2 linked regions of the Diceros bicornis minor genome follow. The protein of the gene in region 1 interacts with the protein of each later gene in a pairwise test. Links are inferred from orthologs where the notes say so. Each region holds a gene or a part of one and is shown on either strand. Other genes may lie near its edges.

Region 1 (10,666 bases):
AATGAACAGATAAGATTGATAGATGATAGACAGACGGCTGATAGCTGCAGCTGTAAAGACACGAATGTGTGTGTGTCAGCTCTGCCCCCCGGAAGGCCCGGGAACAGCACCCTCCCCCCCGTCCGCGCACACCCGGCGCCCAGGTCCTGGTCTCTAAGTCCCCTCCTCCATCGCCAGGAGCAGGCTCTCCTGGGAGAAGTCTGACGCCAGGTGCGGAGCCGGGGAAGGACTCAGAAGATCTGGTGGGGCCAGGACGTAAGGAAGTGTTCAGAGAATGGTGGGGACGTGTCACGTGTCACAGGGGCCGCCTCAGAGGGGCTCCTAAATAGGGGACAAATTAGGGGACAATTGGATTCTGATGGGTCACAACAGTATATTTGTTCATATAGTCATTTAATTACTGTGTGGCTTCCCCAACACACTGTCAAGTCAGAGTCTATGTGGATCCCTGTATCCATAGCATCTAGACCAGGATCACGCATACAGTCGGCGCTCAATAAATGTTCATGGAGTCAGTGAGCCCTGGGGCTGGAAAAGAAGACAGAGATTCCAAAAATGCACAAATAATAGAAGCCATCATTGCTCCTCTCTGGGCCTCAGTTTCCTCACCTGGAAAATGGGGACCATTATTCCTACCTCACTCACGCATTTCACAAATACCTGATTTTTGTACTGATTATCAATCCTTTGCCAGACGCAGGCCGTGTGCTGGGACACAGCAGGATATAGGACAGGCTCTTGTGAATCCCTTAATTGGACGGGGCAGACAGACAATAAAGAAGACTGCAATTAAACACGTTCATTTCAGAGTGATAAACGCTATTTTAAATAATAAAACAAGGTGATATCCTAAAGAATGATTGGGTGTTGTTTTTTTTTTCCATCGGACTGGTCAGCAAAGGCTTCTCCGAGGAACTGCCATTTAAGCTGAGAAGAAGCATTAAGTCCACGGGGAGATGTAGGAAAAAGCATTCCAGAGAGAGGGAACAGCATGTGCAAAGGCCCTGAGGCAACCGACTTTCCGTGTTCCTGTGCCTTGCATTATACTGATTCGGATGAAAATTGGGGGCCAACCTGGGCATAAATACATGCTCAGTCAGTGTCGGTTTATCCTCCACTCTTTTTCCATAGCAAATGGCCTGGTAAAGAAGAGGCATTTATTAAGGAAAGGAAGACGGGAGAAGGAAAAAGTAATATAATCGAATAATTACTCATTTCCTCATTCAACGAATTTGGAAAGTCACGTGATCTAAATCTGGCCAATCAGAGCATCTGTTGAGACCATAATATTGAATCAGAGTAGTCATGTGATCTAAATCTGGCCAATCAGAGGCTTCTATTGGGCCATCAACCTTGAACCCGGGATGTCAAGTGCCAGCCATCTGTGCTAAATCCTTTCCCGTCCCGTCTCATTTAAGTCTCCCAACAACCCAACAGATCCTTACACCCCGTTCCTTCATTCATGCACTCGTTCTCCATTTATCCAGCTCTGACAGCAAGCCAGGCATGTTCTAGATGCAGGGGACACAGCTGTGACCAAGACACACAAAATCCACGCCTCCTGGAGCTGGCATTCTAGGAGGAAAAAACCAACAAAATAAATACGTAAGAGACGTCGGCTGTCCGATGGTGGTGAGTCCTGGGCAGGGGGGCAGCGGCCCCGGGCCGGGGGCGCGGGAAGGACGGGAGGCGGTCACGCAAGGGAAGTGTTGGACCTGTTTTTTTTATCTTAAAGTTTGAAATTTTGTTCATTAGGGAAATTGTTTCATTTGTTGTGATCTGTTCAAAGATTGCCTGATGCAAATCAAAACCACAATGAGATGCTACGTGGCATCCACTAGGATGGCTATCGTGAGTTTTGTTTTAAATGGACAATAATAAGTGTTGGCGAGGACGTGGAGAAATTGGAAGCCTTGTGCACGGCTGCTGGGAATGTGAGATGGTGCAGCCGCTGTGGAGGACAGGATGGTGGTTCCTCAGAGAGCTAAAATAGAATTACTACATGATCTATGGCAATTCCACTCCTGGGTACACACTCAAAAGAAATGAAAACATACGTCCACATCAACACTTGCATACGCGTGTTCATGGCGACACTGCTCACGGTTGTCAGAAGATGGAAACAACCCAAGTGTCCATTTGATGATGGATCCACACAGCGTGTCCACCCACACACTGGAGTATTACACAGCCGTGAAGAGGAGTGAGGCCCTGACACAGCCACACCGTGGACGGACCCTGAACACACGACGCTCAGGGAGAGAACCAGACACAGAAGGACACACGGTGTGTGAGTCCATTGATGTGAAATGTCCAGAACAGGCAGATCCGCAGACAGAACGTGGGTTCATGTTTGCCAGGGGCTGGGGCAGGAGGATGGGAATGACTGCTAATGGAGACGGGGCTTCTTTTTGAGGTGATGGGATGTTCTGGAACCAGATAGTGGTGATGGCTGCACAACATGGTGAATGTATTAAATGTCTCTAATGGTAAACTTTATGTGTATTTTACCACAATAAAAAAAAATAGATTGCATTCAGATGTGAGGTCTGGGCCAATTTTCCTCACCAAAAAAAAAAGTCTTAAAATAGTGCTTACTGTGTTGACCGAGATTTTTGGGGTCCCCTTAAATGTTAAGCCTGAAGAAAGTGTCTCACTTGAAAGTACACTCAGCCTGGTCCCAGCCCTGCCTGAATGAACCAGGGAAGTCACAATGAGGCCACACTGAGAAGGTGACATTTAAGCCAAGACTGGGAGGAGACGAAGGAATCAGCCAAGCTGGGATTTGAGGATGAGCGTTCCAGGCAGAGGGCACAGCCCGTGCAAAGGCCCTGGGGCAGGACCGGGCCTGGCGTGTTGGAGGAACAGGGAGGAGCCCGTGTGGCTGGAGCAGAGGGAGGAGGGGGAGAGAGGGAGGAGAGAGGGCAGGGAGGGGACGGGACAGGTCGTGCAGGGTCTGGTGGGCAGCAGGGAGGACGTGGGCTTCTCCCCCGAGGGAGGTGGGAGCCCTGAAGGGCTGCGCGCAGAGGAGGGAGGGGACGTAGGTCAAGTTTTAAGCCTGTCAGCTCTGCAGGGGAAGGAATTTCGTCCTCCTTGGTCACTGCTGTAAACCTCCACTAAGAAGCACCTTGGCACACAGTAGGTGCATAAACATTTACTGAGAGAATGAATGAATACTGGCTCCATGTGGGGAAGGGGGGACTCAGGTGCAGAGCAGGAAAGTCCCGGGGCCTCCAGCCACCCGGCGGGGTCGTGCCAGGCCGAGCAGGACGGCGGAGGCTCCCGCTCCAGCAGCCCCACGGGGGAGGCCCCGGGCGGCCACCTGTTTGCTCCGGCCCCGATGAATGGCCGGGCGGCCCCATCCATCAGGCACCAGGCGGTGCCTGGCTCTGCCCAGCGGCCGCGGCCCCGCGCATGTCTAAGCAGCCCGCGAGGCCGGTCCCCGATGGTGGGATCCAGGAGACACGTCCCCGCCCCGACCTGGCCCCAGCGGTGGCCCAGAGGCCCCGGGGAGAGGACAGAGCAGGACATGGAGTCGGGGACGGGTGGGGGCCGAGGGGTGTGGGGGGCAGCCACCCAGACAGGAAGAGCTCAAAAGCCCCAATTCCCCCCAAATTAATTACACCATCAAGACTGTGCCCTCCTGGGTTGGGGCTCTGGCCGTGCCTTTCCCTCCCCGGCCGTGTTCCGTTCTTTCTGCCCCCAAAAGCTCCTCCACGCACTGGGCCTGCCCCAGCCCGCCCCTTCCTAAACCCCACTTTGGGCGTGCCCCTGGTCTGCTGGCCTCCCACCTGGCCTCGTCTATTCCATGACCAGCGAGAACCTTCCACCATCTGGCCCTAGAGGCCTCTCTCTGCTGCTCTAAGCCAGGGCTTCTCAGCTGAGGGCGACTGTGTCCCCCAGGGGACACTGGCCATGTCTGGGGACATCCGTGGCTGTCAAGACTGGGGGTGCTTCTGAGCATTGAGTGGGTGGGGCTGGGGATGCTGCTCAACCCCCTACAGTGCCCAGAACTGCCCCCCACAGAGAATAATCCAGGCCAGAACGCCAAGAGTGCAGTCTCAGAAACCTGCTCTATAGCCTCCCACGGCTTCCTAGTACCCTCCAGGTCAAGTCCCCACTCCTCAGCGCTGAATGCAGGGGCCCGCACCGTCCCGGCTCCCGGCCCCCCGCAGCCAGTATCCCCCCATGCCCTGCCTTTGTGCCCCACCCGGAGGGGCAGTCTTGCTCAGCGGTCAAGGGCCCGAGGACCTGGGTTTACATCCCGGCTCTGCCACCTCCCGGCTGTGTGATTTTGGCCAAATCACTAAACCTCTGAGTGCCTTAATTTTCCCTTCTTTCCAATGGGCACAATGGCTGCACCTAAGTTAACATGGGAAAGGCAGGGCCTGGTGCATGGTGAAAACATACACAGGTGGGTTGGTTTATTATTGCTCATGGTTTGGGTCAAAATCCTGGGCTGAAAGGCCCAGCTCTGCCCCCCAACCAGTCTGTGCTAAGTGGGAGTGCTGGTCCCCAAGGGCCAATACTGGGGGGTGCCTGCCTGGATGAGGGCCAGGCGCAGACGGCCTCCCACGAGAAAGGTGTCTGGTCCCCATGGTCCGGGGGGAGGGTGGGGATGGGGACAGGGCTGGTTTCACCGACGTGAGTCTGGTGTTGCCCCACGGGGTCCTGCACTCCAGGCCCCGGCGCCTGCTTTAATGCTCTGTTGTCACCATCTCGAAATTTCTAACCACTTTTGAACAACAAGTCCTGCCATTTCATTTCAGCCCTGGGCCCTAAAATTCTGTAGCCCGCCCCATCAGGGACTCTAGGACGATTTGTGGGGTCTGCGTATTCCAGAACCCGATGGGAATACCGAAGAACTTTCCCAAACTTGTTCCTTTTTCCTTCCAGCCTCAGGACTAGGGAGACCCTGCATTTTCGAGACTCGTCTGCGGCCCCCTCAGATGCTGTCTTATTTAATATGTGGATATTTTGCGCATTATGAATTTTTGGGGGCATTCCTTTTTATTTTTTAAAATACTGCATTCAAGTATTATTTATCTTGAAGGCTTTTTGCTCTGGGGGGAGACTTAAAATTTTGCTTATTTATGTCACCCTAGTCCCGGCCCCTCATGTGCCCAGGAAAGGGGACCGGGGTCCTAACCATTTTACAGATGGGAGAAGCAAGGGCCCAGAGAAGTTAGACACATCCAGGGAGGCAAGCTGCACAGACGATGACGAGGAGAATTCAGACTGCGGTTAGCACGTGCCAGGGGTTGATGGGCATTATTTCAACAGCTTCTCTGAGGTCTGTCCTCCACGTGGCCGCGAGCAGATCCCATCAAAATCTGAGTCAGAGCCGCCCCTCCTCTGCCCACAGCCCTCCAGTGCCCCACCTCTCTCAGGGGAAAAGCCCGAGTCCTCCCCTCGGCCCACCAGGCCCTGCACCATCTGCCCTGGTCCTGTCACCAGCTACAGAATTTGCAGGGCCCAATGCAAAACGAAACTATCAGGCCCCTCCTTCAAAAATTATTAGGAATTTCCAGACCACAACAGTAGATCATTAACCCAAGCGCAGGCCCTTCTGGGAGCCGGGCCCCTGTGCGAATGCGTCAAGCTGCTGGCCCTGCCTCCCTGCCCTGGTTTCCTCCTATGGTCCCCCGGTGCCAGGCACAGTGCTGCCTCAGGGCCTTTGCACTTGCTGCTTCTGCCTCCCTGAACGAGCCTCCACGCCGGCAGACCTCCACCAGCTCCCTCTCTCAGCTTCCGGTCCTCTCTGCTTCAAGGAGGGCCTCTCTGCCTCCCTCTGTTTGAAATCGCACCTACCTGGCCCTGCTCTCTGCCTTATTTTCTCCATAGCTGTTACCACCATCTGACCCGCCAGGGACTTGGCTGGTGTCTTCGTGTGTGTTCGTCTCTAGCGTGCCCCATGTCGTCTCCCCCAGAGTAAAGACGTTGTCTCCACCCCCCGCCCTGGCCCCCACGCCCTGGAGCAGGGCCTGGCACACAGTAGGCGCTCAATGAACGCGTGGGGAAGGCACGGCCCCCAGGAGGCCGGCGGTACCGCCGCCGCCTTGCTTCCGAGGAGGAAACCGAGGCTCGAGAGAGCAGCCGGCGAGCCGAGGCTGCAGAGCGTGTCCCTGGCACGCGTCCAGGTCGCGCCATGACAGCCGGCCGTGGCGAGGGGGCGGCGGGCCCCTTTCCTTGACAGATGGGGAAACCGAGGCCCCCGCGGCCGCCAGGGCCACCGGGGCCGCCGGGCGGGGGGGGCGGGCGCGCGCCGTGCCCAAGGTCACCGCGCCGGGCGAGGGGCGGCCCGGGGGAGGGGCTCGGCGGGCCTCCCCGGGCGCGCGCCCCCCTCGGCGGCGCGCACGGGGCCCGGGCGGCGGCGGCGGCAGGTGGAGCGGGAGCCTCCGCGCAGCCGAGGCCGCGGCCCCGCCGGCGGCGCCGCCATTAGACAATAGGAGCGGCGGGGAGGGCGCCGGGCGCGCAGGAAGCGGGGCCCGGGGCGCGCCGGGGCCGGGCGCGCGGGGAGGGGGCGCAGGAAGCGGGCGAGGCCGGGCGCGGGAGGCGGCGGCGGGGCCCCGGGAGCTGCCGATCGGCGCCGGGACAAAGGCGCGGCCGCCCGGCGCCCCGAGCCGCCCGAGCCGGGGCGCACAGCCGGGGCGCAGCCCGCGCCCCCCGCCGCGACTGACATGATGTTTCCACAAAGCAGGCATTCGGTAAGCGGGGCCCGCCGGGGCCGCTCGGGGCCCGCGCCCCCCCCCAGGTCGGGGCCCGGCACCCCCCTCCAGCTCCAGGCCGTGCGCCCCCCCCCAGATCCGGGCCCGGCGCCCCCCCCAGGTCCCGCGTCCGGCACCCCCAGTTCCCAGCCCGGCCATTTCCCCCCCAGGTCCGGGCCTTGTGCCCCCCTAGATCCGGGCCTGGCACCCCCAGTTTCCAGCCCGGCCATTTCCCCCCCAGGTCCGGGCCCTGTGCGCCCCTAGATCCGGGCCCGGCGCCTCCCCCCAACTCCTGGGCCCTGTCCCTTCCAGCTCCAGGCCCAGCGCTGCTCCCCCCCCAGCTCCCAGGGCTCCCCCACCACGCAGCTCCCAGTCCCCCTCCCAGCTTCCGGGCCCGGAGTCCCCCCCCCCAGCTCCCTGGCCGGGTCCCCTCCAGCTCCCGGCCCTGCGCCCCCGCCCCGCAGCCCCTGGGCCCTGCGCCCCCCCACGGAGCCCGGCAGGGCCTGAGCGGCCTTGGCGTCGGGCCTGGGGCGCCCCTAACGCAGGGGCTGCTCTCGGTGCCCGGGAGTGAGGGGAGATCCGAGACGCACCCCTCCCGGAAGGGCCCGGAGGAGGGGTGCCGGGAATCGGGGGGCCCCCCAGGAGATTTGGGGCGCTGAGAGGGGCCCCTCCCCCAACGGGACTTTGCAGGGAGGCCTCGCTCCCTGCCAGCTTGGGGAGGGGGCTCCCCGGGACGCGTCCCCACCGCCCTCCCAGAGGCAGTCGGGGCGCTCAATGTGCGCCCCCCTCCCTGCGCTTTGGAGGGGCGGTAGAGGGCGCACCCTGGGTCCCCGAGGGCGGGCCTTCAGCGCACCCCCCAGCCCGGGGGTGGCGGGGACAAGGCGGCTCCGGGGCGCGCCCACCCCCTGGCTTCCCTCGGGAGAGGCAGGGCAGGAAGCGAGGGCGGGGGCGCGCCGGGGGCTGTAAACACCGGCCCGGGAAGTGGGGCGCGGGGGGCGGGGGCGCTGCAGCTGGGCCTGCCGGGCCTCAGGGCCGCCCGGGAGGGAGCCCCCCCGCCCCCCGCCCGGCCCTGACCCTGACCCGGCCGCCCCCTCCCCGCAGGGCTCGTCGCACCTACCCCAGCAACTCAAATTCACCACCTCGGACTCCTGCGACCGCATCAAGGACGAGTTCCAGCTGCTGCAGGCCCAGTACCACAGGTGAGGAGGGCGCCCCCGCGCAGGCGCAGCACCGCGGCCTGGGGCGAGGTCGTGGCCCCTGCTGTATACATCCTGAGCACTGGACCAAGAGTAAACTCACTTCCTCTTCCCAACAGTCCCATTTCACAGATGGGAAAATTGAGGCGCAGAAAGTTAAATCATTTGCCCGAGACTCGTGGCTTCAGAGCCCCCCTCCCACCCCCATCCCTACTGGATAACAGACCTCCCAATAACTGTCGGGGGTCCCTCCACCCGCCCACCCCCCCAAAAAAGAATTCTGTAGCCTGCTATACGTCTCTCTGCTAGTTTTGCAGAAAGCGTCCCGGCAGCCAACAGATTCTCGAAGGTGCTTCTCCCTCCAGAATGGAATCTGCTGACCTGTCTGCAGGGCCTGCCCTCTGCCCCATCTGAGGGGAAGGAGCTATTGTTATCTCCATTTTCCGCCTGAGAAACTGAAGCCCAGAGAGGTTAGGGATTTCCCGGGGACGCACAGCAAGCAAGTGGCGGAACTGAGAGTTGCACCCGATCTCTCTGGGTTGAAGAAGGCCTGGGGGGGCGTCCAAGGCCTCTCTGGACCTCAGTTTACCCACACACAAGTGTTCTTTGAAGGATGCTGGGTTTCCTCGAAGAAAAAAGGGAGAATAGTGAGTTTTTCGGTTTTTTTACAAACATCCAGCCTCTTGGAGGTGCTTCTTAGACTCCTCATGTGCTAAATACTGAACAGACATCCTCTCGTTTAAATCTTTCTTGTTGTCCCATAATCGTGCCCATTTTAAAGGTGGGGAAACTGAGGCACGGGCAGTTGGAAGGCAGGCCCCAGGAATTTGTTCTGGTCTGCGATGTGCAGGGGTCTGGTTGGCCTTTCCGAGCCCCTCCAAGGGGTCCTCCGCTCCCCGACCCCGGCCCTGCCCCCCGCACAGTGACCGTGGGGTGGTCCAGTCGCAGACACCGAGCGTCATATTGCTGCCACAGTGCTGTGTGACCTCGGGGGGGCCAGAGCCCCTCTCTGTGCTTTGGGGTCTCCGTGCACTGGACCCGCACTTCCCTCTATCCAGTGAGGGGCCCTGGCACGTTGGGGGCACACACCAGATCTGCCAGGAATCCAGAGTCTGGGATGAGATTGCGATTTTCTTTTTTTTTAAGTGGGGTTAACAAATGCGCATTTTTAAAGCAAATTAGAGAAAATAAACTCGTGGAGGCCACGGCGACCCCAGCTGCTGTCCAAGTCCCGGTCAGTCTGGTGGAGTGAAGCGCCAGGCTCCTGGGGTGACCATACGATCACCAAGCACTCATTAGATGCTTAGTGTATGCCAGGCGTCGTCCTAAGAGCGTTTCTGGTCTTAATCCGTGTCATCCTTGCCAGCCCACCCCGGGAGGTGGGTACTTAACAGACGCAAAGATTGAGGCCCAGAGGGGTAGAGACGTTGGCCCAGAGTCACACAGCATCGAAGGAACACGGCGGCGTTGAACCCAGTCCGGCAGCCTTGAGTCTGTGCTGTCGGCTCCCCCTTGGGGGGCTTCGAGAAATGCCCGCAGCTCGTCCTTACTGGGGGAGGCCGGGGTCACCATCCATTACCCAGCAGTGGAACTTGCACCTCCTCATGAAATCAAAGCCCACGGCAGGGGGGGGCCTGGACCACCTTGGGGATTCCTCGGTGAGTCCACCCCAGAGCCCTCCAGCCGGCCCCCGGCCTCTCAGCCCCTCTGCGGTCTCGGCCTGTTCCTCTCTTGCTGGAGACTTTTCCCCAGTGGCTGAGAGTGTGGCCTCTGAAGCCAGCTTCCCGGCTGTGTGACCTGGAGACAGTTCCTCACCCTCTCTGGGCATCCACTGCGTTATCTGCTAAATGAGCGTGATGCTAACAGGACCGACCTCAGGGGGATTCGGGATGGGTAAAGGTTCTCTGAATCCCCCTCTGACCAAGAGTCGGGGTTTTCGCTCTGACTTCTGTTATTTTTATTATCGTCGTCGTCGTTCTCCACCACCCGACCTGCGAGGCTGGTTTCGTAATTCCCGTCATACCTGGGGAACCTGGGGGTCTCTATGCCCGCCCCATCCTCACAGAGGAGGGCGTGTGTGTCCCCCATCGAAGTTCGGGGTTCCCCTGCGCCTCGGGGGGACCTCAGCCCAGCGCCCGCCCCCTCCCCCCTCTCCCTCTTCAGCCTGAAGCTCGAATGTGACAAACTGGCCAGTGAGAAGTCGGAGATGCAGCGTCATTACGTGATGGTAAGCGGCCCCGGGTGGGGGGACGGGCGTGGGGGACCCCGGACCCTCCTCCCTGCCAGCACCCCGGCCTCCTCCTCCGGGAAGCGGGAGGAGTCAGGGTCTGCTCTCCATCCCGCGGCCCCTGGAGCCCGGCTGCGTCCGCCTCGCTGGCCTGGCTGGCGGCCCGGGAGGTGGCGGAGGTGCCAAGCCACCGGGTTGCAGCCCGAGCCTGCCAGGTCCCCCGGCTGGCCTTGGCAGCCGAGGAGGCGGCTGTGGGAGCCAGAGCCAGGAACTGACGTGGGGGAGCAGCCGGATCCCCCCCACCCCGGGCGTCCGGCCGCTTAACCCCTCCTCGCCCGGGGAGGCGGACTCCTGGGGGTGACGCCCTTTGGGGTTCGTGGGGGGCAGGGGGTGACACTGCCTTCTCTGGCCTGACATTTGAGACCCTGTCGGAATCACTTGCTCGGTTTTATACCCACCAGGTGGCGATTTTGGCCTCAAAAACCCCTGCTTTGGTCCAGCCAGAGCCCCACTTTCCCAGGCCATGGGGAAGGAAG
Region 2 (9,423 bases), on another chromosome or scaffold:
GGATCCCAGCCCCGAGGGAACCTGGCGGGTGTTAATTCACTTGTTTTTTCAGCACGTGAGAGGAGAAAAGCAGGACAAAGACAGACAGACCTGGTTCAAGGTTAAGAACCTCAACTCTGGAATCAGAGATGGGGGTTTGGATCCTGACTCTGCTATTTGCCAGTTTATGACCCTGCCCAGGTTACTTAACCTTCCTGAGCCTACATCTTCCTCTCTGCAAGATCAGGATAACAATCCTGGACCTTAGCCCCGGGCCAGACGCACGTACACAGCAACTGTTACTTTCCAGGTTCAGTGGGAAGACTGGGTTCTGCTCAGTCAAGCCTGGCTTCAAATCCAGGGTCAACGGCATATTAGCACATAATCTTCACATTATTTAATCTCTCTGTGCCCCAGTTTCCTCATCTGTAAAATGGGCATCATGATTGTTCCCATCGCACAGTGCGGGTGAGTGGATTGAGCGGGACACGGCACTTAAAGCTTTCAGTACCCTTCGTGGCACATGGTATACCCTCAATAAATGGTGGCCACTGGTTGTAGCAATACTTTCATAAAATTACACACATTGTTTCATCCCTCTGAGCCCCGGTTTTCTCATCTGTAAAATGGAGACAGAATCCCCTACCTCCCAGTGAAAATTAAATGCATGGATGCCTGTTAAAGCACTCAGCACACAGTCTGTGCACCTTCAGAAGGCACATGTCATGCTCCCGGGGGAATGGAAAGAGGATGGGCGTGAAGTCAGGCAGGTGACAGGAATCTGTGTCCCAGGACACAGGCTTGACCCCTCTGAGCCTCAGTTCCTTGTGCACATAAAACCGAAAGCCATTCTCTGCAGGATGACTATCCTGCAGCCCTTCTCTCCGCACGCAGTGGGTGCTCCATAAATGTGACTTCTCTTTCCCTTTCCCTGTTCGTTCCTTGCTCAAAGCCACCAGCAGTGCCACCTGGCAAAGCCAGGAGCTCCGTTTCTTGAAACCCGAACGGCCCTAAATCCAGACCAACCTGGGCTGCTGCTTAAGTCTGAGACTCTGTCTTGTGAAGACAGAAACTACTTTTTAGTCATTTCCGAAGCAGACGGGACGCAGGGGCTGACAAACCACAGGGACCATTTTAAATCCTGGGCTTTTCTTCTGGGAAGTTAGGCAAGAACCTTCCCAAATGTTTGCCCGTGGGGCTCTCTGCCAGGGAGTGACTCATCCGCAGCTCCCCACAGGCATATTTTATTTGGGGGTGGGGGATAGAGGGAGGGCTTGGCCTTGCTGGGGGAAGGGGAGGCGGCATTTCCAGCAAATCCAGAAGGTGTTGTTTTTCATTTTTTAGGACAAAAAGAAAAAGAATGTGGGTCTTTTTTGTTTCCTTCCAGGTTTTGTTTGCTAAAAGACCACGTTCAAAGTTCACTCGGTAAGCTGCCGTGTTGGGAACAGGCGCCTCCAGCCAGCTCTGCATCCCTTTCAATGAAATTCTTCTTCCATTAACGCTACGGTTTTTAAATGGGCCTCCCAGGTTTGCCTGCGCAGACACTGAGCTCCTAAGACGACATTTTCCCCTCGGAAAGGAGAGCTGAATTTTGACAATTCAGAGGAACGAGGGAGCTCCAGACTTTCTGAAGTTTGCCTTAAAGCAATTAAGACTTTCGACTGCAGAGATTTTCAACGTTCATAAAGCCCCCAAAAACCTGTCAGTCAAACCTACAAGGACAGACCTTGGAAGACAGTGTCCCAAGCCTGCTGTGATCAATTTGTTATTGTCTCGGGGCTTTCACATGGAGCCCAGGCTGGATACAAATAAATCAGATGCATACGTATCTACTCAGGGAGGCAGGCAGAGGGAGACCCCCAGATACACAGACAAGCGACTCCAGACCCCTGGTCTCCCCGGGGGGTGAGCCCCCCAGGGAACCAGGGCCAGAGAGGGGCAAGAACAAAGCCAGGGGACCCAGAGGGCACTTAGGAAGAACTGAACACAAGTCCTCCAGTGCCAGGCCCATCACAGCCGCAGCCCAGCCTGTGCGCCCTGGAGTCCCACAGATGGTCCTGCCAGTGGCCCTGCCCCGGCCTGGCTCTGGGGCCACGCCCCCTGCCAGGCCCAGCAGGGATCTGTGGGTCTGACCTCTGGCTCTTCACTCACCAAACAAGGCCCGGCACCCACTGGGTGCCCGCCAGGCCTGCTTCTCTCCACGGGCCCCCTGCATGGGGGCCAGCTGTGGGCACATCACGTAGCAGGCCCGGTAGGCACAAAGGGGGGCCCTCAGCCTCCATAATAAACACACACACACACTCCTGGACACAAATTACACGCTCACATCCACATACACACACTTTTGTCCTCACAGGCTCACAAACGCGCACACAAATCACTTGTGAACACTCATGCACGTGCATGCACACACACATACTCCCTGAATCCACACAGAGTGGGTCACAAAATGAGAATACACGAGAAGCCCCTGGCACACTCCTTGGCACAGAGAACACACTCAGTAAACGGATAAGGGGGAGCCATGCCCATTCCCCCGCACTCGTTCACACCAAACAACACAACCCTGACACGCCGATGTGCACACGCACACACTCCTGCGAACACAGCCCCGGGGACAGCTGGACACGCCGCCCACGCACGCTTGGACGCACGGCCGCGGACACACTCAGACTCGCACGCTCACACGCGCCCCGACCTCACGCGTGCACAGCCGCCCGCTCTCCCCCGCGGAGCCCCGGGCGCGCGCGCGGGCACGCGCACCCCGCTCGGCCCGGGTGTGGGTGACGGCCCCGCGGCCCGGCCCCCGCCCCTTCCCCGGCCTGCGCCGGCCCGATCCGGCCGGCCCGGCCCCAGGCCACTCACCGGCGCGCGGGCGGGCTCGGCTGCCGGCGGGAGGCGCGGCGCGCGGACGGCGGGCGCCGGCGGCAGCGGCGGGTCCCACACGAGTCGGCGGCGCCGCGGCCGCACGCTCGTCCGCTCGGTTCCGCCGCCGCCTGCGCGGGCTCGCGCGCGCGCTCCCGCCCCTCCCCGCCGCGGGCCCGCGCCGCCCCCTGCGCTCGTGCGCGCTGCCGCCACGCAGGCTCGGGGGGCGCCCCCGCGGCGCCCTCGCCGCGCCGGGATCCCTCCACTGCCCCCAGCGTTTTGGGCAGCGAGTGGTCCGCTCAGCCGAGGCGCCCCCTCCCCGTTTCAGAGATGGGGAAACTGAGGCCCAAGCTCACACCGCGAGTCGGGCCCAGTATCTCCCCCTCTTCTCGGGCTCTAGACCCTTAGGGTTAGAGTCTGCACTCAGCCAACCCCGGGGACCCCTCCCACGCACTGTTGAGTACCCATCGCCTGACACTGCTCCCATCACAGCCCCGGTTGCACTGAAATGGGCTAACCAACGAGCGCTTATTTACGCCTGCTGAATGTGGGCACGAAGCAGGCTCCGAAAGTATGTCGATGTGGTGAAGGTGCTGCTCCCCGCCCTCAGCGCCAACGTCTCCCCGTCTGGCGCTCCCCGCTTCCTGTGGATCCCAGAACCAGCACGTCAATGTGCAGAGGTTTCTGGAAGAAGTCAGACTCCCCTAATGAATGCTTGTCACACCCTCTAAGGAGACAGTCTCCATGGGGGCCCAAGGGCAGCAGCTCAGTTCCCCGCCTCACTTCCTAAGGGGACCCGCCCCCCCCCGCCCCCCCAAAAGGGGACGCTCCTGGCTCGGACAGTTCCTGTTTCCACACTTGCTGCTTCTCCACCACATGCAAAACTGCCGGAACCAGAGACTGACACTGCCTGCCTGCCAGCTGCCCAGCTTGATCATAGCGCTGTGCTGGGTGCAGGCGGATGCCCGCTGGGCCTCGTTTGCCCGGTGAGTGAACATGTTTCCACTGGCTGTGAGCTATAACAATAATGTCACCCACTGAACCCCCGCTGTGTGCGGGACTCGCGGCTGCACGCTCTGCCTGCCTTGTGGTGTTCAGTCCCGCCGCTAGTCTCAGAAGGAGTCATTATGCTACTTTCGTGCCCATTTTACAGCAAACGAGGCTTAGAACTGAAGCTTAGAGAAGCAAATTCTCTTGCCCAAAGTCACCCAGCTGGTAAGTGGTTGAGCTAGAAGCTGGACCGCAGATTGTCTACTTCCAGTGCCTGTGTGCCTAATCTACGCAGTCTCACCTCATGAGCAGCATAGCTCTGGGCTGCTGGTGTAAGAAGGGGCAGACCGGGCAGCAGCCGATCCAGAGGAGCCAGCCCAGTCCAGCCCTTCCACGAACCAACAGGGATGAAATGGATCACTCTGCACATTGGTTAGCTGTTTAATTGGGGATCTGTTTACAACCTCACCTCGCATGATATACCTTGCAGTAAATGTCAGATAGATGAAGATTGAAGAGTTAAATATGAGAAATAAACATTGCAAAAAGTAATCGAAAGACAGAAGTTCTGAGACAGTGTGTTGCAGTGTTACTAGCGGATCAGTGATATTGGCTATACTCGTGCAGCAAACATTAGTTCATTCATTCATTCACCGGACACGTATCCACAAACGCCTTCTATGGGACGGGTACTATTCTAGGCACTGGGATATGCTCGCGAACAAAATATAACCCTGACTCTCTTAGGGCTTCCATCTGGGAGTGGGGGCTGGGAGGAAGAAAAGTACCTGGCATGATGAGGATAATAAGTCTGGTGGAGAAAATAAAGCAGAGAAGGGGGAGGAGAGCCCAGGAGCGCTTTTTCATAGCGGTGCTGGGAGAAGGCCTCTCTGATGAGGTGACATTTGAGCAGAGCCCTGTATGAGGGGAAGTGACTAGGACAGGCCCCATGCTCCGAGACCCGTCCTGGTACGCTACAGAGCAAGAACCTGAAATTCCCCTTTGAAGGAAACTCGGGGAGCAGCACCAGACCACTGGGGCCCTGGCAAGTATCTGTGTAAAACTCTACCATTTGCAAAGCCCCTTTCCAGCCTCACAGAGCCCCTGTAACAGGTACTCCTAGTGTCCTCATTTTCCAGTTAGGAAACGGAGGCCCAGAGCGGTCAAGCAATGTGCCCCAGGTCACACAGCCAGCCACAATCAACAGAGATGGGTCTGGCTGCAGGCCAGCTGATGGCTGCTGCTGAGTGCTAGGGGAATGAAGAAGTCCTTCCAGCCCCTTCCTTCCCTCTTGGACTATAATTCAGGAATGGGAGGGGGTGGCCCAGGCTTTTGCTGTAGGTTTCTAGAAACAGGAGGGTGCAGCAGCAGGACTGTGGGAGAGGGGATGGGAGAAGTCATCTCCACCCCGTTTTCCTGGCCTTCCTCCTCCTCGCCCCCTACTTCCTACCCTTTGGCCTGGTCCCAGCCCCTGGTGACATGCTGGGGGAAAAATAGGTTAAATTCTGCCCAGAGACCCTCCAGACTCCCTGCACTCCCCCCACTCTCCTGGCCAGGGCAGGGGGTGGAGGGAAAAGGTACGACGCAACCTGAGCCCCACTCAACTTTTGTTTTTAACTCAAAGGATTTTTCAGCGAGTCCCCAAATGAGTCACCTCGAAGAGGTGCTTCGCAAAATGACTCCCAGAATTAGAATCAACGTCTCCCTGCGCACGGGGCTGACACTTCCTCCCGCAGTGGCGTCTGTGACTCTGGTCTGGGAGAAAGGCGCTCTCTGTGCACCCCCCAGAGTTTCTGGATGAAGCCTGTGTCGTTTCATTATTTCTCTGCGTTAGGGGAAGGGCAGCCAGTCTTCCTGGGCATCTTCTCCGAGCCCGGCTCTGCGTGAGGCATTTCATTCTCGCAGTGTCCCTCCAGATGGGTCAGAATTTCTGTCTTACAGATGAAGAAGCTGAGGTTCAGAGAAGTCAGGTGGTTTGAACACAGCCAGGATCTGAACCCGGTTTACCCAAAGCCTCTATTCTTGTCAGTATTTGGGGGAGGGGTAGTGGGGGGGAAGGGGGGGTGAAGTATTAGAATCAGACCATGTTCCTTTGAAGGCCCTTGTCCAAATGTCTTCTCGCCAGCCTCCTGACAATAATTTTTGTGGGGGGCTAGTCTTGGTTTTCCCAGGAAGTCTGGTTTGTGCTTGTCGCCGGGGCATGATTATTAATAGCACCACTTTCACTCCAAAAGTGTCTCGATTTGGATAATTCACTTTAGGGTCGCCCTGGTTGTTTGCAAATGTCATCGTGTTGGGGGATTCAGATTTTATATTATATCAAATACAAAATGGGGGCCTCTTGTCTGCTGGACCTTCTCCGCATCCTGATGTGTGCATAGCTGACCAAGAACTTTCACAAGAGTTCATGGGGCTTTTTGGGAGCAGCAAACCCAGCTGGCTGGGGAAGGAATCAGGACTTGGGACTCCCTCCCACCCCAGCTCTGCCAGTCCCTTCCCCACTGGCCCCCAGCTATCTCCTTCTTTTCTCTGGAGGGAACCAGTGTTGCCAAACACACCGTTCCCAGACAGAGTGTTTTGTGTGAGTGTGTGTGTATATATGTGGGTGTATGTGTATTTTTTTTTCTTTTCCTATTTTTAGCCCAAGTGATAGTATCTGATCCACGCTGCTGAACACCTTGTGTTTTCTTCACTTCTTGGAGATCACTTCCTATCACTCCATGGACAGCTATTTCCTTTTTTATGACTGCATAGTATTTCAGAATATTTGTATTTAATCCACGTTTAGCAAGTACCTGCTCTGTGTACCATTCTAAGCAACTTGGGAGATAATGGAATTTTCAGCCACAGCCCCTGCCCTCAGGACTTACAGTCTGGTTGGGGGACAAGAAAAATAGAAAATATTGGAGGGATGTAGAAGAGCATTTTCTCCAATGGCCCCCAAGTTCATTTATGAGGTTTGGCTTTGGGGCTGATATATATATATTTTAATTCTTAGCTCCAGGTATCTGTAGGGTTGTTGAAAGAGTGCAGGCATGGGTTCTTTTGAGACTTGAAAACTCAAGTTGCAAGTTCGGGCCATCCGTCTCATTCTGGGCCTCAGTTTGCTCGTCTGTAAAATGGGGGCAGTCAGCCTCTGTCACAGGATTGCAGTGATCACATGAAATTGTATTCCTGAGAATACTTGGTGAAGAGTTAAATGCTGTGCTCCGGGGCTGGAAGATCTGCAGAGGCTAAGACGAGGCTCTAAGGCAGGGTACGTTAGTGCAGGTGTCCTGGCTCTTCCTGGTAAGCCTTTCATGCTTTGCTGATCCTGTGATACAGCCTGCTGAACAGTTCTCTCCTCCCACCTTTCACAGCTACGGTCACGAACTCCGAGTCCGCTACAGGCTTGACACGGTAGACCCAACACCCAGGAGGCCCCAGAATGTGGAAACAACACAGGTTAACCGTCTCAGGGAGGGCCTTCGGGGATTGTTATTCCGACTCTCACTTTACAGACGGGACCAGTTCAAGGCCATGCAGCCAGCAAGAGGCAGAAATGCACGCGGTAATGTCCCCACATCCCTGCCTCTCCCTCATTCCCTCCACCAGCCTCTGACACGTGCCGTTTCAACTAACAGATTCAAATCCTACCAACCCGCAGTGAGTACCAAGAACTGTGCCTTTCACGGACGTTCCCTCAGCTGACCTTCTCAACCACACTTTGAGGTAGTGATCATTGCCCATTTTGCAGATGTGGAAACTGAGGCTCAGAGACCGTTGATACTAAAATAACAAAGGAGTTGGTGCTATGTCAGCCCCCACAAGAGACCCTCAAAATCATGGTGCTCCTACATAAAAGAGTTGGCATTTGTGGCTACCGAGAGGCATCAGTCACGGAGACAGGAACTGTGGAAATGTCATTTTGGCCTCTGAAGGAGTTTTGTAAGCTCACGAAACACTGGGACGTGGACCCTGCTCTGCTTTCTGGATGCGTGTCGCCTCCTGATAGTGAGCTGAATGAGACTCTCTGGCTGTGGCTCTTCTTCTCTCCTCCCCTGGGGTCGGGGTGTGATGGGTTCACCTGTATCTGAGCCTGGCATAGGGAGGACACAAGATTCACAGTGTGACCAGAGGTCCCTGCCTGCCCAGGATGGTCCTGGGTCATGCCTGCTGTCCCAGCACCATCCATAACAGCGTCCCCTTTCACTCTCACAAGTGTCCTGGATTGGACAATAAATTATATGGCTGCCCTGTTATTCATGTCAAATGAAACAATAACTGGCCGGATGAATAAATAAGCAATCATCGCAGTTGAGGACTAAGTAATCTAATCGTGTCCTCTGCGCATCAGCTCTGGATATGGGGATCCATGTTCCCGATGAGAAAGTTTGCAGGTGAGAAAATTGATGCAGGGAGAGCTTACCCAATTTGTCTAAAACACAATTTAAGAGGGCGTCTGACGGGTCCAGAATCTCTGTTCCAACTCACTGTGCTTGGAACCAGCAGGGTCCCACGCTGGCCATATTTCTCCCCCAGGCGTCCAGGTATCCCCTTGGCTTTTGGGGGCAAGTGAGGAGGTCGAAGTGCCCTTCCTGAAACTCCTGGGGTATGTGGCTAGAGTGAGTCTCCTCTGAGCCTGAGGCCTCCCCTGCGTGCCCACCGGGGCTGGCTGCTCTCAGAGCAGACGGAGGCAAGGGGCCCCTGGATTTAAGGCTGATGACATCATCCCCCCGTCAATCTCAGATGCCCCCCAAAGGAGGGTGTGCCCCTGGTCTCTCAGCCCTGCCCCTGAGTTGCTGGGAGTGGGTGTAACTTTTCCGGGCTGCAGGACATGCCAGGCCTGTCTTGGGGGTGAGGGCAGGAAGACCCAGACAGAGACTGGCAAACAGGGATGGGAGTGGGGCGGAGGAGGCCAGGCAGGGAATCAGAGGAGATTTGGTTAGGTTTCTTTGAGAAGGGGCTTGCAGGGGTCTGGGCACCGCCACTCCCTCCCCCCAGCCTCAAACCAGCCCTCCCGACCAGGGGTGGCAACAGAGTGGGACTAACGCATCACCGGGAAAGGAAATCCATTTTCCCTCATTCAATGTTGTTCTGAGGGACCTGGTCCAGGGTGGCCTGGCTGTTTTGGGGTGATTCCCTTGAGGCAGAGTGTAAGGGTCGAGGGGCACCCTGGAGGAGGGGCAGTGAGTCTGGGGGCTCCGGAAACCCTGAAGCCAGAGGTGCACGTGGGCCTGCTCTGCTGCAAGCCCCAGGCGCTGGGCTCTGACCTGAGCTGCTCAGGCGGACCCCTGGGATAGGGGGCCATTTTGACCCCAGGCTTTCTGCCTGAAGCCAGTTGCCAAAAACCACAACCCTTGCTCTGCCATCAGCCCCCCAGGACTGGGCTGGGCCAGGCGGCCTTGGCAGGAACTCAGCCTCGAGCCAATCAGACCGGGCTTCAAAGCCCGCCTCTGCCGCCCACTAGCAGTGCGACTTGAACAAGTCACCTCACCAACCAGAGCCTCAGTTTCCTCATCAGGAAATTGGAGGTGATAAGATCTTTCTCAGCAGGTCATGATTAAGTGAAGACACCAAGCCAGCGCTTGGCTGAAAATAGTATTAGCT

Evidence for each region. The genes of interacting proteins can lie anywhere in the genome.
Region 2: the proteins of TLE5 (region 1) and NEK6 interact in binary tests that used the Homo sapiens proteins (3 or more experiments, as listed by UniProt). The two-hybrid records come from large-scale screens. The link is inferred for Diceros bicornis minor from reciprocal best matches to the Homo sapiens genes TLE5 and NEK6.

The regions. Positions count from the first base shown.
Region 1 is NW_026691553.1:2,385,348-2,396,013, reverse strand, and holds the start of TLE5 (TLE family member 5), read left to right. Parts: upstream 1-6,609; 5' UTR 6,610-6,680; coding exon 6,681-6,707; intron 6,708-7,808; coding exon 7,809-7,906; intron 7,907-10,066; coding exon 10,067-10,130; intron 10,131-10,666. UniProt on the Homo sapiens protein: Transcriptional corepressor. Acts as a dominant repressor towards other family members. Inhibits NF-kappa-B-regulated gene expression. May be required for the initiation and maintenance of the differentiated state.
Region 2 is NC_080767.1:32,841,156-32,850,578, reverse strand, and holds the start of NEK6 (serine/threonine-protein kinase Nek6), read right to left. Parts: upstream 3,430-9,423; 5' UTR 3,363-3,429; intron 2,927-3,362; exon of another isoform or gene 2,845-2,926; intron 1-2,844. UniProt on the Homo sapiens protein: Protein kinase which plays an important role in mitotic cell cycle progression. Required for chromosome segregation at metaphase-anaphase transition, robust mitotic spindle formation and cytokinesis.